Arabidopsis thaliana: one gene and its partner. The protein of the gene in region 1 binds, or shares a complex with, the protein of each later gene. Each region holds a gene or a part of one and is shown on either strand. Other genes may lie near its edges.

Evidence for each region. The genes of interacting proteins can lie anywhere in the genome.
Region 2: AT1G05970 (region 1) and AT5G11470 share a complex: the UniProt entries of both Arabidopsis thaliana proteins name them as parts of the ASI1-AIPP1-EDM2 (AAE) RNA regulatory complex.

The regions. Positions count from the first base shown.
Region 1 is NC_003070.9:1,815,306-1,818,981, reverse strand, and holds AT1G05970 (RNA-binding (RRM/RBD/RNP motifs) family protein), read left to right. Parts: upstream 1-1,645; 5' UTR 1,646-1,754; intron 1,755-1,988; 5' UTR 1,989-1,990; coding exon 1,991-2,437; intron 2,438-2,573; coding exon 2,574-2,729; 3' UTR 2,730-3,157; downstream 3,158-3,676. Other genes in the region: AT1G05990 (EF hand calcium-binding protein family), read right to left, coding at 1-394. UniProt on the Arabidopsis thaliana protein: Prevents gene silencing by suppressing CHG methylation as well as histone H3 lysine 9 dimethylation (H3K9me2) status at target loci.
Region 2 is NC_003076.8:3,662,217-3,669,960, reverse strand, and holds AT5G11470 (bromo-adjacent homology (BAH) domain-containing protein), read left to right. Parts: upstream 1-2,037; 5' UTR 2,038-2,115; intron 2,116-2,898; 5' UTR 2,899-2,919; coding exon 2,920-3,282; intron 3,283-3,765; coding exon 3,766-3,934; intron 3,935-4,036; coding exon 4,037-4,893; intron 4,894-5,180; coding exon 5,181-5,207; intron 5,208-5,567; coding exon 5,568-5,660; intron 5,661-5,845; coding exon 5,846-5,924; intron 5,925-6,015; coding exon 6,016-6,106; intron 6,107-6,235; coding exon 6,236-6,335; intron 6,336-6,437; coding exon 6,438-6,554; intron 6,555-6,688; coding exon 6,689-6,744; coding exon of another isoform or gene 6,745-6,745; exon of another isoform or gene 6,746-6,771; intron 6,772-6,843; exon of another isoform or gene 6,844-6,909; coding exon 6,910-6,961; intron 6,962-7,072; coding exon 7,073-7,204; 3' UTR 7,205-7,244; downstream 7,245-7,744. Other genes in the region: AT5G11480 (P-loop containing nucleoside triphosphate hydrolases superfamily protein), read left to right, coding at 107-269, 393-611. UniProt on the Arabidopsis thaliana protein: Collaboratively with AIPP1/EDM3 and EDM2, the AAE complex regulates alternative RNA processing (e.g. alternative splicing) and epigenetic silencing (e.g.

The sequences.
Region 1 (3,676 bases):
TACCATCACCATCAACATCCACTTTCTTTATCATCTTCTTACAATCGTCCAAGGTCTTACCTTGTTTGAGCCCCAAGGAAGACAAAACCGCCTTCAATTCATCCACCGTTATAAACCCATCTCCATTCTGATCAAACACATTGAAAGCTTCTTTCATGTCCTCTTCTTCTTCGTCTTCCTCGTCCATTATCGTCTTGTATAGCTCACCAAACTCGTCTATGTCCACGCACCCATCACCATTCACGTCGATCTTCTCGATCATTTGAGTCAACTCCTTGTCCGGGATGTAAATCCCTAGGCTTCGTAGTGTCTCGCTCAGCTCTTTCCCCGTGATCGTCCCGTCCCCGTTCTTGTCGAACATTTGGAACACGCGTTTTAGCTCTGTCGGATCCATCTCTTTTAAAGTTGTAGTGTTGCGTGTGGAGGAAGAAAAGATAATGGTGAGGGCTCCACGAGGCCGAGAAAATCTTTTACCCTTTCCTGGCTTCTTGGATAAGGGCAGGAATTCAAAAATCTAGGAGGAAGTTACAAGAGATGCAACAAAGAGACATTCATTAGCCAAAAATAGGAAGGAAGAAGGAGATAAAAAGATATGCCTTTGGTTGATATTGTTAATCGGTAGAGATGGACATGTTGAGGGTTTTAAAAGGATGCAACTCTATGAGTTTATGGAATTAATTATTTTCTTAAAATTTGTTATATATATAGTGGGAATTTAATTAATACTTTGTTTTCACCAAACAAAAAAGTAAGAATTAAGAAACAGTAGTACTAGGGGGAAAGTTGAGTCAACATTCAAATAATATATAATCTGATAGATTTGTGTATCCTTTTGAAGGTAGATAACAAAATTCTTGTAAAATAATTACATTCTTGAATCTGAGCGAATTAATATTTAGTATAAACAACTGCGACAAATACCCTGGAATTTACATTCTTGAATTAACATTAGTATACGCAAAATATATGTTTCGTTTTAAATTATTGTTAGCGTAATTAATTCCCAGTTACAATTAATCAAGAACAGTTTTAGTGACGTTTAGCTCCAAACATTTATCCCAGTTAAATAAGACATATTTTGCTGTTAAAAAACTAGATAGTAAATGGTAGGCAGGTACTCCCCACCTCGAGGATATTGGTTGCACGTTTAGCTCCAAACATTTATCAGTTTAAACAATTGCATTAGCTAAATAACAGTTTATTATTGATCAAATCAGAATTTGATTTAATATTTGATTCTTAAAAGAAAAACAGCTAAAAACTCTAATGAAGTGGTGAACCACTATTATGATTTATGGCCAATGAAAGTATCCTAAAAAGATTTTGTTTTATAAAAACTACAAAGAGATCCAAAATTGATACATTACAATGAGTCGCATCGCTTTCACTAAATCTCTTTATTTAATACTTACAAAAAAAAAAATATCTTATTTAATTTCAACTACATGTTTTTTATAATTTACAGGGAAAGGAAAAAAATAAAATTGCATAAGGTTGAAAAATAAAAAAGTGCCCACACGCAGGATCGAACTACGGACCTTCAGTTTACAAGACTGACGCTCTACCACTGAGCTATACGGGCCATTGATAATGGAATCCAATAACAAATATATAAATCTATAAAAGTCGTCATTTATCCTCCTAACTTACTTCTTCTTCCTTATTTCGTCTCCCCCCATAGACGACGCCTTTGACACGAGTTTAACAGTTACTTCCAGAGACGACGCCTTTAACACGAATTCTCTCCAGTTCAGGTAATTCTTTGATCTCTATCCTTCTATTCATCAATGCCCCATCGATTTCGCTACTATCTCTTCATTCCCATTTCTCTGAGAAACCCTAGATTTTCGCCCCGATTTCTTTTTTGTTTTTCCAGAAAATTCGTTGCATATATTTAAGACGGAAATTGTAACTCTGTTGAATCAATTTGGGGTTTGTTCTATTTGAACTTAAATTCGTTTATCGTTTTCTCTTCTTAATTTGGTTAGTGATGGCGACTCCGGAAGAAGTAGCGTATGAGAAGTTCCTAGAGAGAGTTCGTCGTACTGTCTACGTAGACGAACTCACGCCTCTTGCCACAGCTCCTGTTATTTCATCTGCTTTCAATCAGTTTGGGACTGTCAAGAAAGTCAGCTTCATACCTAACTACTTGGGTCCAAAGGAGCTTCCTATGGGTGTTCTTGTTGAGATGGAGAATGAAGAGATGACACAGGCTGTTATCTCTACTGTCTCACAGTTACCTTTCATGGTTGCTGGTATGCCAAGGCCTGTGAGAGCTTGTGCTGCTGAGCCTAATATGTTTGTTGATAAACCGAAGAAGCCTGGTAGAACGGTCCGTTTTCGCTGGATTAAGCCTAACGATCCTGATTTCGACAAGGCCAGGAGAGTCAAGCGGCTTGCTCGTAAGCATAGTGCTGAAAATTCGTTCATGCTCAAGGTGCTTATATTTTTTGTTTTTTGTTTTCGTTTGTTTGTTGTCTCTTCCTGTGGTATTGGATCTGATTGGCGGTGATAGTGTTAATGAAGACTTGTGTGCTATTGTGTGAATGTGTTTTCTTGTCTTCTGTTGTCAGAAACAGCTTGAGGAGGCAGAGAAGCTGTCGAAACAGCAAGCTGAGACGGCGGTAACACATCACAAGAAGTTTGAGATGATGGATAAACTCCTCTACGATGGTGTTGCTCAGAAACTGGCTGGCCGTTACGACCTGAAAGGTTTTCCTTATCGGTAGAGAGAGACTGCATATGGTATTTTGCTTAGAACTTCCTTATGTCACTAGTTTGTGCAGTGTCTATTTTGGTTGAGCTGACTTTGCTGTAGGCGCTCTGACTTTAACTCGTAATGAAGAATGTTCCACATTCTCATTTATGTGAAACAAGTAGAAGCGTGTAAATGAGATAATCAAAGTCCCTGCTTTAGTTTACCTTGACCTCTCCTCTTAATGCCTAATTCTCAAGCAAAACAAGATTTAAGCTTTAGAGACACATATTCTGCTCTCTCTGATATTTCAGATTTTTGGCGTTTGGTTTTCTACATTCCCGGTTCTTAAGTCTTGTGAGTAGTGTATGACATTTGAGATGAGATAGCTTGATTTCTATGTTGGATCAGACATTTGAATTGTATTACTATTAACCAAACTAAAAATTGTGTAAAGCGAATATAATAATTTTCGGTTTAGTCATGAACCACCAAACCAATTCTGAAGGGAATTAAAAACCAAGAAAAATTAAGAAAAGATCAAAAGAACAATTGTCAAGAATCATAGAGGACTAGTCAATGGATCCATTCAGCAGAAAACAACCTTCAAAAATTCGGACCGTATATAGCCCGCATCACATAAGCACTAGTGGATCCATTACAAGATATTTGAAGGGTATATTGGTAATTTAAAGAGGAATTCGGACTGACACTTTCCGACATTAATGGCGGAAAGAAGAGAGAGAGAGAGCTTTTTTAATAATGAAATGGAGAGATTAAATAAAATAATGATAAAAAGACGAGAGAAGAGCAATGCCACCTCTGAGCGGGCAAGCGGGATTAGATTTGCCTTCTTCTCCCCAAGCTGCCTCTCTGGCTTTTCCCCATCTTCCTGGTAAAATTCTCTCCTTCTTCAATCTCTATCTCTCTCTTTTTTCCTGGTTAATTCCAATTTGGATTTGTAATTTCTCTGAATTTGAT
Region 2 (7,744 bases), on another chromosome or scaffold:
CCTAGTTTTTTGTTTGTGTCTGTTGGATACAATTACAGTTTCTGTGCCAGGGAATTTGAGGACTTTCAGTATAGAAAATGAAAGTTGATACATTTTATATATCCAGGTATGCATCAGCACCGCATGAACTCAAACAAGACTGGAACAAATTCACCAAAGACTATTTTCTAAATCGATCAACATTGGTCTCGGTGTTTTTACTAGTTGATGCCAGCATTCCTGTAAAGCCAATCGATCTCGAGTATGCAAGCTGGCTTGGTCAAAACCAGGTATAAAAAGTACCTAAACCTTGAAAACCCCACTTTAACCCATTAATTGGCAATCATGGTCAAGACTTGTACTAATTGTGTAATGTCTCTGTGAAATGAATGATTGCTATCTATATCTCTCAGGTTCCAATGACTTTGATATTCACAAAATGCGACAAGAGAAAGAAGAAGAAAAATGGAGGGAAGAAACCGGAGGCGAACATAAAGGAGTTCCAAGACTTGATCCAAGGGTTCTTTGAGACAACACCGCCATGGATTATGACCAGCAGTGTGACGAATCAAGGTCGGGACGAGATATTGTTGCATATGGCTCAGCTAAGAAACTACTGGCTCAAACACTGAGAACCAAAACAACACTTCTCCATATTATCTTTTTATAAGGAGACTTATATAACAGTTAGTGTAAAACGACAAAACTAACAGTTAGTGTACCAATTATTTGGGCACTGTCTTTGATTAATGCAACGCTGAGATTTTGTTTAATGTATTTGTGTTACAACTTGTAATGTATTCGGACTCTACTAAACTTTTGTAAAAATCAACAAACAAACGAAAAAAACAACAAAATTATTCGCAAATATAGGAAATATAGATAAAAGGTTAAGCATATAAGCATCAAGCGGGGATAGCTCAGTTGGGAGAGCGTCAGACTGAAGATCTGAAGGTCGCGTGTTCGATCCACGCTCACCGCATTTTTAAAAAACTTTTAAAAGACAGAAAAACGACGCCGTTTCTTTTTACGAGACCCTAGAAGCAGCCCATATAACAGCCTAGTATCCCTAAACCCAACTCTTCAGACCTTTTTGGTAGTGGGCCTTAATGAGACAAAAATTGTTCTGTATCCTTTACTGAAAAGTGAAAAGCATAGATAGCTTAACTTCTTGATATTGACCTCCGTTGCCAAAAGATTAATGGGTGTTCCAGAAAATTAAAACACATTCAACTATAGAGAGTATGTGATTAATATTGCATTGGTGAATGGTGAGAATCACAGTCCATTGGCTTTGTTAAAGACACCATCTTTTTAAAACGTGTGACCATTGACAGGAGTCATTAGAAGAACAATAAATTTCTCCACTCCATGATTTTGATTTTGAATTTTAAGTATCAAAACAAGTAAGAGTCTAAAATAGGGATGTAGCATTTATACCACAACTACTTTTATCAGGGATAATTCTAAACAAATTATGATATAAGCTCACTAATTCGAGTTAGAAGATATGATTAAATTTCCATGATCTTGTTTAACGGTTAGTATATATGATCAGACCGTATCTCACATATACATGTGTAAAAAAATTGGAAATTTATTATTATAGAAAAAATAAAATAAAGAAATTGTTGTATTTAGGGGGTAAAAATCTTTGCTCAAATATATTTTCTCTAAAATTACGTATTTCTTTTGTGCATAATTCAATTTCAATGTATTTTTTTTAGACCTAATCATTTTTACTTTCTGTCTTTTGTGCAACTCATTTAAAAAAGTAAGTAACAGAGAAAATCTCAGAGAAAGGGGGAATGGGAGGAGAAAAGCTTTCATGAACTTACCGTTCTCTCTGGAAACTGCAACAACAAGAACAATCTTCGACCAAAACTGAATTGCTCTATAGAGATTTTGATTTGAATTTGTTTATGATGAACTTTAGCGATAGATAAAGTGGAGAGATACTGTAGTAACCGGTAAAACGAGGGATTAGGGTTTTTTTTTCTCCCTCTGCGATAAACCTGGGCTTCGTCAATTTCTGTTCATCTTGACCTAATCGAACTCGCGTCACTCTGATTTCGCTAGGGTTCCATTTTTCCGTTCGGTGGCTTCGGAAACTGTAAACTGATTTCTTCAGTGAAGGTAAAAAAAAAGTTGAATTGTTGGTGAAAGTACTTCGTCTTCTTTGTTTCCCAGTTAATCGCTGTTTCTTACGAACGCAAAAGCTTATCTCAACCTACATTGCGTAAATGATATTATCACTTTTTTGCAATTGCGTAGTTTGGTGATCTTTTGATTTTTCTGAATCGCCTTTTTGTTTACTTGAACTCAATTATCTACTATTTTATTTAGTGTTCTTTGTTCTCACGGAGTTTCTTTCGTTGATCAACTGATTTGCTGCTTTCGGTATTTTTTGGTGGACTTGCGTGCTTTTTTAGAGAGCCTTGTCATTACTAAACGTTAGTCTGAGTACTGAATACTTAAAAGTTTCTTATGGATTGGTTATGGTGCATTATAAGAATGTATTGGATGGTTTTTGGTTATATGCACAATGCTAATGATTTCAATTGAAAGATTAATGTGTTGCCTTGTTTAACAGTGGATCTGATAGAGTTTCGGGAGTGATTTTGGTTTGATTGATTGGGAGTATATGGTGGATCATTGATTTGATCTATCTTGTGATGGTTTTTTCCTTTTATGTGTCTTCTGGTCTTAGTATTTTAAGTCCTTGAAGTGTTCTGCACCTTGTCAAGGGTACTCTCGGTTATCCTTGGAAAACGAGTTTGATCTTCTGTTGGAATTCTTGTATTCCTTTCGATTTATCAATGCAACCATTTAAATGAACGATTGTGGATATATGTTCAGTCGTCTAATCAGTTCCTCGTGCAATTCTGATCTGGATACACTATTCTGCTGTTTGTCTAGGTAGAAAATTGCTTTTAGAGAATGGAAGAATCTGTAGCATCTGAAGGCTTAGAATTTAAGTGGGGTAAAAAGAAAGGTGTTGGTGGGAAAAAGAAAGATGTCCAGTTCTATGAATCTTTCACCTATGATGGCGATGAATACCGTCTTTATGACTGTGTCTTAGTTGGCAATGCCAGTGAACCAGACTCTACTGAACCCTTCATTGGCATGATCATAAAAATTTGGGAACACGCTAATAAGCATATCCCAAAGAAAGTCAAGCTTCTCTGGTTCTTTAAACCTTCTGAGATTGCGCCATATCTTGAAGGAGTCCCGAATGTACTTGCCAATGAAGTGTTTTTAGCATCGGGTGAAGGTCTTGGCCTTGCTAATACCAACCAATTGGTAACTAATTATTCTTCTGCATACTATGTTGAATTTTCATTCTCCATAGTACTTATTGAGCATGTCATGGCATTTTCTTATTGATATGTATCTCATATTATGCTGCGTACTAAATTATATTGTCCATCCACTTTTGTTTTGTTGAATATTATATTCTTTGCGGTAGGATAACTTGTTCTCTGTTCACCAACATATGTGCTCCAAGTAGCTTTTTTGTCCTCTTTTGTAACCATGGCATAGATCTCATCCCAAAGCTCCCCAAACAGAAATACGTTGATCAATTACTTTTGTTGGTTTCTAACATTGTTACAAGCGTCTTTCTATGGTGAATCAAACATGTCCTTGTGTCTTGAGAGATTTACCTTTGCTTCACTTTTTGGTTGAAATATTCGTTTGAACTTTGTGCCATTGTGCGAATAGCTGGTGCAAGTGATTAGTTAAAATTACACCTGCTTTAATACTGATATGACATTATTTCACTAGGAAGCAATCGGTGGAAAATGCTCTGTTCTATGCATTTCAAAAGACAAAAGAAATCCACAACCCTCGGATGAAAAATTCAACTCAGCGGACTTCGTGTTTTGCCGAGCATTTGATGTTGGAAGTTGCAAAGTTGTGGATACGATTGATGATAAGATTGCTGGAGTTGACGGTACAATTTGTTTCATCTTAGTTGATAGCTTTGACATTCTACTCAATAGCTATCTTGATTCTTTATTTACATCATATCTTCTTTTCACTCTAATTCTTGCAGTTAAATTTATCTTTAACAGAGCGTGCTCTGAGAAAGAAGCAACTGCGGTGCAGAATATTGAAGCAGACGTAAATGGGAAGTCAGATAGTTTGAAACCAAATGGTCCTTTAGCTAGGGGAGCTAGTGGTTCAGTTAGGAAAATCGAAGACAGCGCTTTTGAATCTTCTGACTGTAAAGAAAACAGTAATGGTTGCAAAGAAGAGAAAGAAAAAGGTCACTACCAACTCGCTATAAAAAAATCTACACTTGCAGAAGAAAGGTCTAACAAGGATTCTGGCTCTAGGGGAAATCATTATAATGGCAAAGATCAAGAAAGTGAAGTTAAAAAACAGTTAACTAAACAAAAATCTATGCCTGGCGAAGAAAGATATAGTAACTCTTTTGAAGCTTCTGGCTCCAGGACAATTCATTCCATTTCAAAGAAAGCTCAAGAAAATGATGTTAAAAAGCAGTTGACTAAACAAAAATCTATGCCCGCTGGAGAAAGATATAGTCAAGAGTCGAGTGGATTGGATGACAGGCCTCTGAAGAAACAGAAACTTGATGGTTCTGTTACAGTACGAGATGGATGGGATACAACCATTTTGCAGAACATTACTTCTGATGGTAAAAAGGATACAGGATCTTTTAAGAGACCTAGAGACAAAGTGACTATAGAGGAAGTCCCTCCCGAAAAGCGCAGCTTTGTTAAGAACCGAGATCTTGTAGTGTCAGTATCTGAAGGAAAAACTACAAAAACTGTAACTGAAAAAGGTATATCCAAGAAGCCCAGCTTTGGACGTGCTGAGGACAAGATGTCGGCAGATGATAATGAAAGAAACTATCAAGTAACTGAAGTGTGCCGAAGGCCGGATGCTGTAAGTTTATACTTACTATATGTTTCCTGCAATATGATTTAGTTTACATTGGTTTGGAACTGGCTGTTTCATGAGATTTCAGAGCGTGTTGTAAAATCTTTAGATGCAAGGATGTGGTTTTGCAAGAACACAATTCTAAAAGGAGCAGTTTTGTTTTACAGTCCTTCACACTGTATGTTGTATAGTTGTAGTGATGTTCTGTCATTCTTCTCATCTTATTATGTTACCACAATGCTTGGTAACATTGAGGTTTATCTAACAGATTTTTGTTTCCTTATTTATTTCAGGGAAAAAGTAAATGGTTCCGGAGTCTTGTAAGTATCTTTTCCTTAACTTTTTTTTGCACCCCAGTTCTGTAAATGTCGTTTTTGGTTGCCTCCATTTTCGTGTTTGACATGCTTGTTTTATGATGTTAGTAGAGTGACCTGTTAATATTGTTAACGTCTCGTTCATATGCTATTCAGAAAGTAGTGTATTTTCTTGATCGTTTCTATGTTCGAGAGACTCAGTTGTTTACTTTTGAATCTGCAGTCAAATTGTTTACTTTCTCTATCCGCACCTATTTTTTGTTTGGCTGGCGTAGTCTCTTCTAGCTAGCCTGAATTGTTATCAGATTCTGTACGTCGTATCAGAAATTATGGACTGACTTTTTAATTTGTCTAAATTATGTCCAGCCTTGGGAAGAAAGTATGAGGGAAGCAGAAAAAAAAGGGACTGTGGTACTTCTTCAAAACTTGGATCCTACTTATACATCTGATGAAGTGGAGGTATTACAGTTTATTTAGGAGTCTCTTTTTTTTTCAACAACATTTAGGAGTCTCTTAAAATGTATATTGTATATGCTTACTCAATGTAACCTAATGTAATGCAGTTGTTTCCTGATTTACTTCATGGAAACCTCCCTTCTTTTCTCTTTTTATGCAACCTAAGAAATTTATGAATTGTATTTCAGGATATAGTCTATTCTGCTTTGAACCAGCAATGCGAAGCGAGGATGATAGAGCGTACATCAGTCACTATTCCTCATATTGGTAAGCTACCATTTTACTCACCGGGTTCTAATTTATGATTCTCACATACTATAAATGGAATGAAGAGCACCTCATATTGTTTGATATACAGGTGAAGCTTTGGTCATTTTCAAAACAAGAGAAGTTGCAGAAAGGGTGATTAGAAGACTAGATGAGGGATGCTTGTTGCTATCAAGTGGGAGGTGAACCTGAAATGACATATTCTTCTTTTTTCTCTAAGCTTCCTATGATAAATTGCAGAGATGTACAGTGCCATTTTTTTGGCATACTTTCATCTCAGAAATCTCTGCTGTGCCTTTTTTGCTCAACAGGCCCCTTGTTGCTTCTTTCGCTAAGATTACTCCACCAGGGAAGCCGTCATTATTCTCAGGCCATATCAAACTACACAAAACTCAAACGCGACGGGAGATGGTATTGTTTTCATTTCCCTTTCCCTTGCATAATGCACACAAATAAAAATGCATTGTTACGTTACTAATCTTCTTGCTCTTTGGTCTTTATATGTTTTTCCAGAGAGATGCCGTGGCTACATCACATTCTTCTCAGCCTAACAACCTTGAATTTGACATGGCCATGGAATGGTGTTTGCACCAAGCCAGACACGAGCAGGCGTCTGAAAGTGTATCTAAGGTAATTAGATTGTCTAGACGATTATTGCCACTATTTTACTGAAAACATGAGTTTCTGTTTGGAACTGTTTGGAAAAATGAGAAAAAAGTGTGCTTCAATTCCTTAAGAATAACTGAATCCTTAAACCCTTATAGCGGCAATTGGAGGAGATGAAGTCGCTGCGGATTAACTTCAAGCTGAAACTTCCTTAGTTTCAGAATCATCTTGTCACTCTCGTGTAAGTATTAGCTCTTATCTACATGTCTATCATCTAAACGAACCAAATGATCACTTACTTTCTTTGCTTCAGACAGAAATATCACCAACTGTAGATTAGAAGGAAAAACACAAGGTCTCTTTTAGCCTCTAAAGACAGTGAGACTCAAGAATTTTGGTTTCATGCCATCCAGTCCCCCAACTTTGACTCGGTAAACACCTGGTTTCTTTATGATATTTTTGCTTGATGTCATACAAATCAAAATATACAAGAAAAGGTGAATAATTTGCACTTGTGCTGTTTCTTTCTTGCTTGTGTTTAGGAGGAATATACTGATGCGGCTTCTGGTCTCAAATCGGACGACCCTTTTGTAGTTACATATTTTTTTGTAAGGGTCAGTTTCACTAGTGAAGTGCTAAACTTTTGTGTGGATCAGGAAAGGTCAAGAGAGTAATTGTGACCTTTTAGGGGTTTAAAAAAGTTCCTTATGATGCACCTTTTAGCCTAACTAGTTGTTTCACCACTTAAGCCCGTCTCTTGTCATCTGAAAAAGAGTTTCAACTCATTCCATATCCACTTGAATATGATGGGCAAGTAGGCCTCGCTCGCCAAAGAATAAAATAGTGGGGTCTTACTAGCTCCCTAAGTGGGCCTCGCCAAAGAATAAAATAAATTTTACTTCATTTCACTAATTAGCGTATCATGCAATTTTAATAGTAGTAGCCTCTGGTTGATGCTTCTGTGGTGAAAAAAGGTAATCACCGACAACACATCTTTTGAAGAAGGTACATTCTCCACGACATTTCGTTCTCCTGCCTCCTATATTTCCAGCAACCAGAAAGGTGTAATCACTAATAATCAGCCTTAATTACATAATCGATCCAAAAACGAAAAGGTTATATTGAAAATAATTATGGCTTATCAGACACACCTACACACTATTATGCACCAAATCTTCTGAAAAATCTCGCCTAGTCTACTGTTTAAAAATACT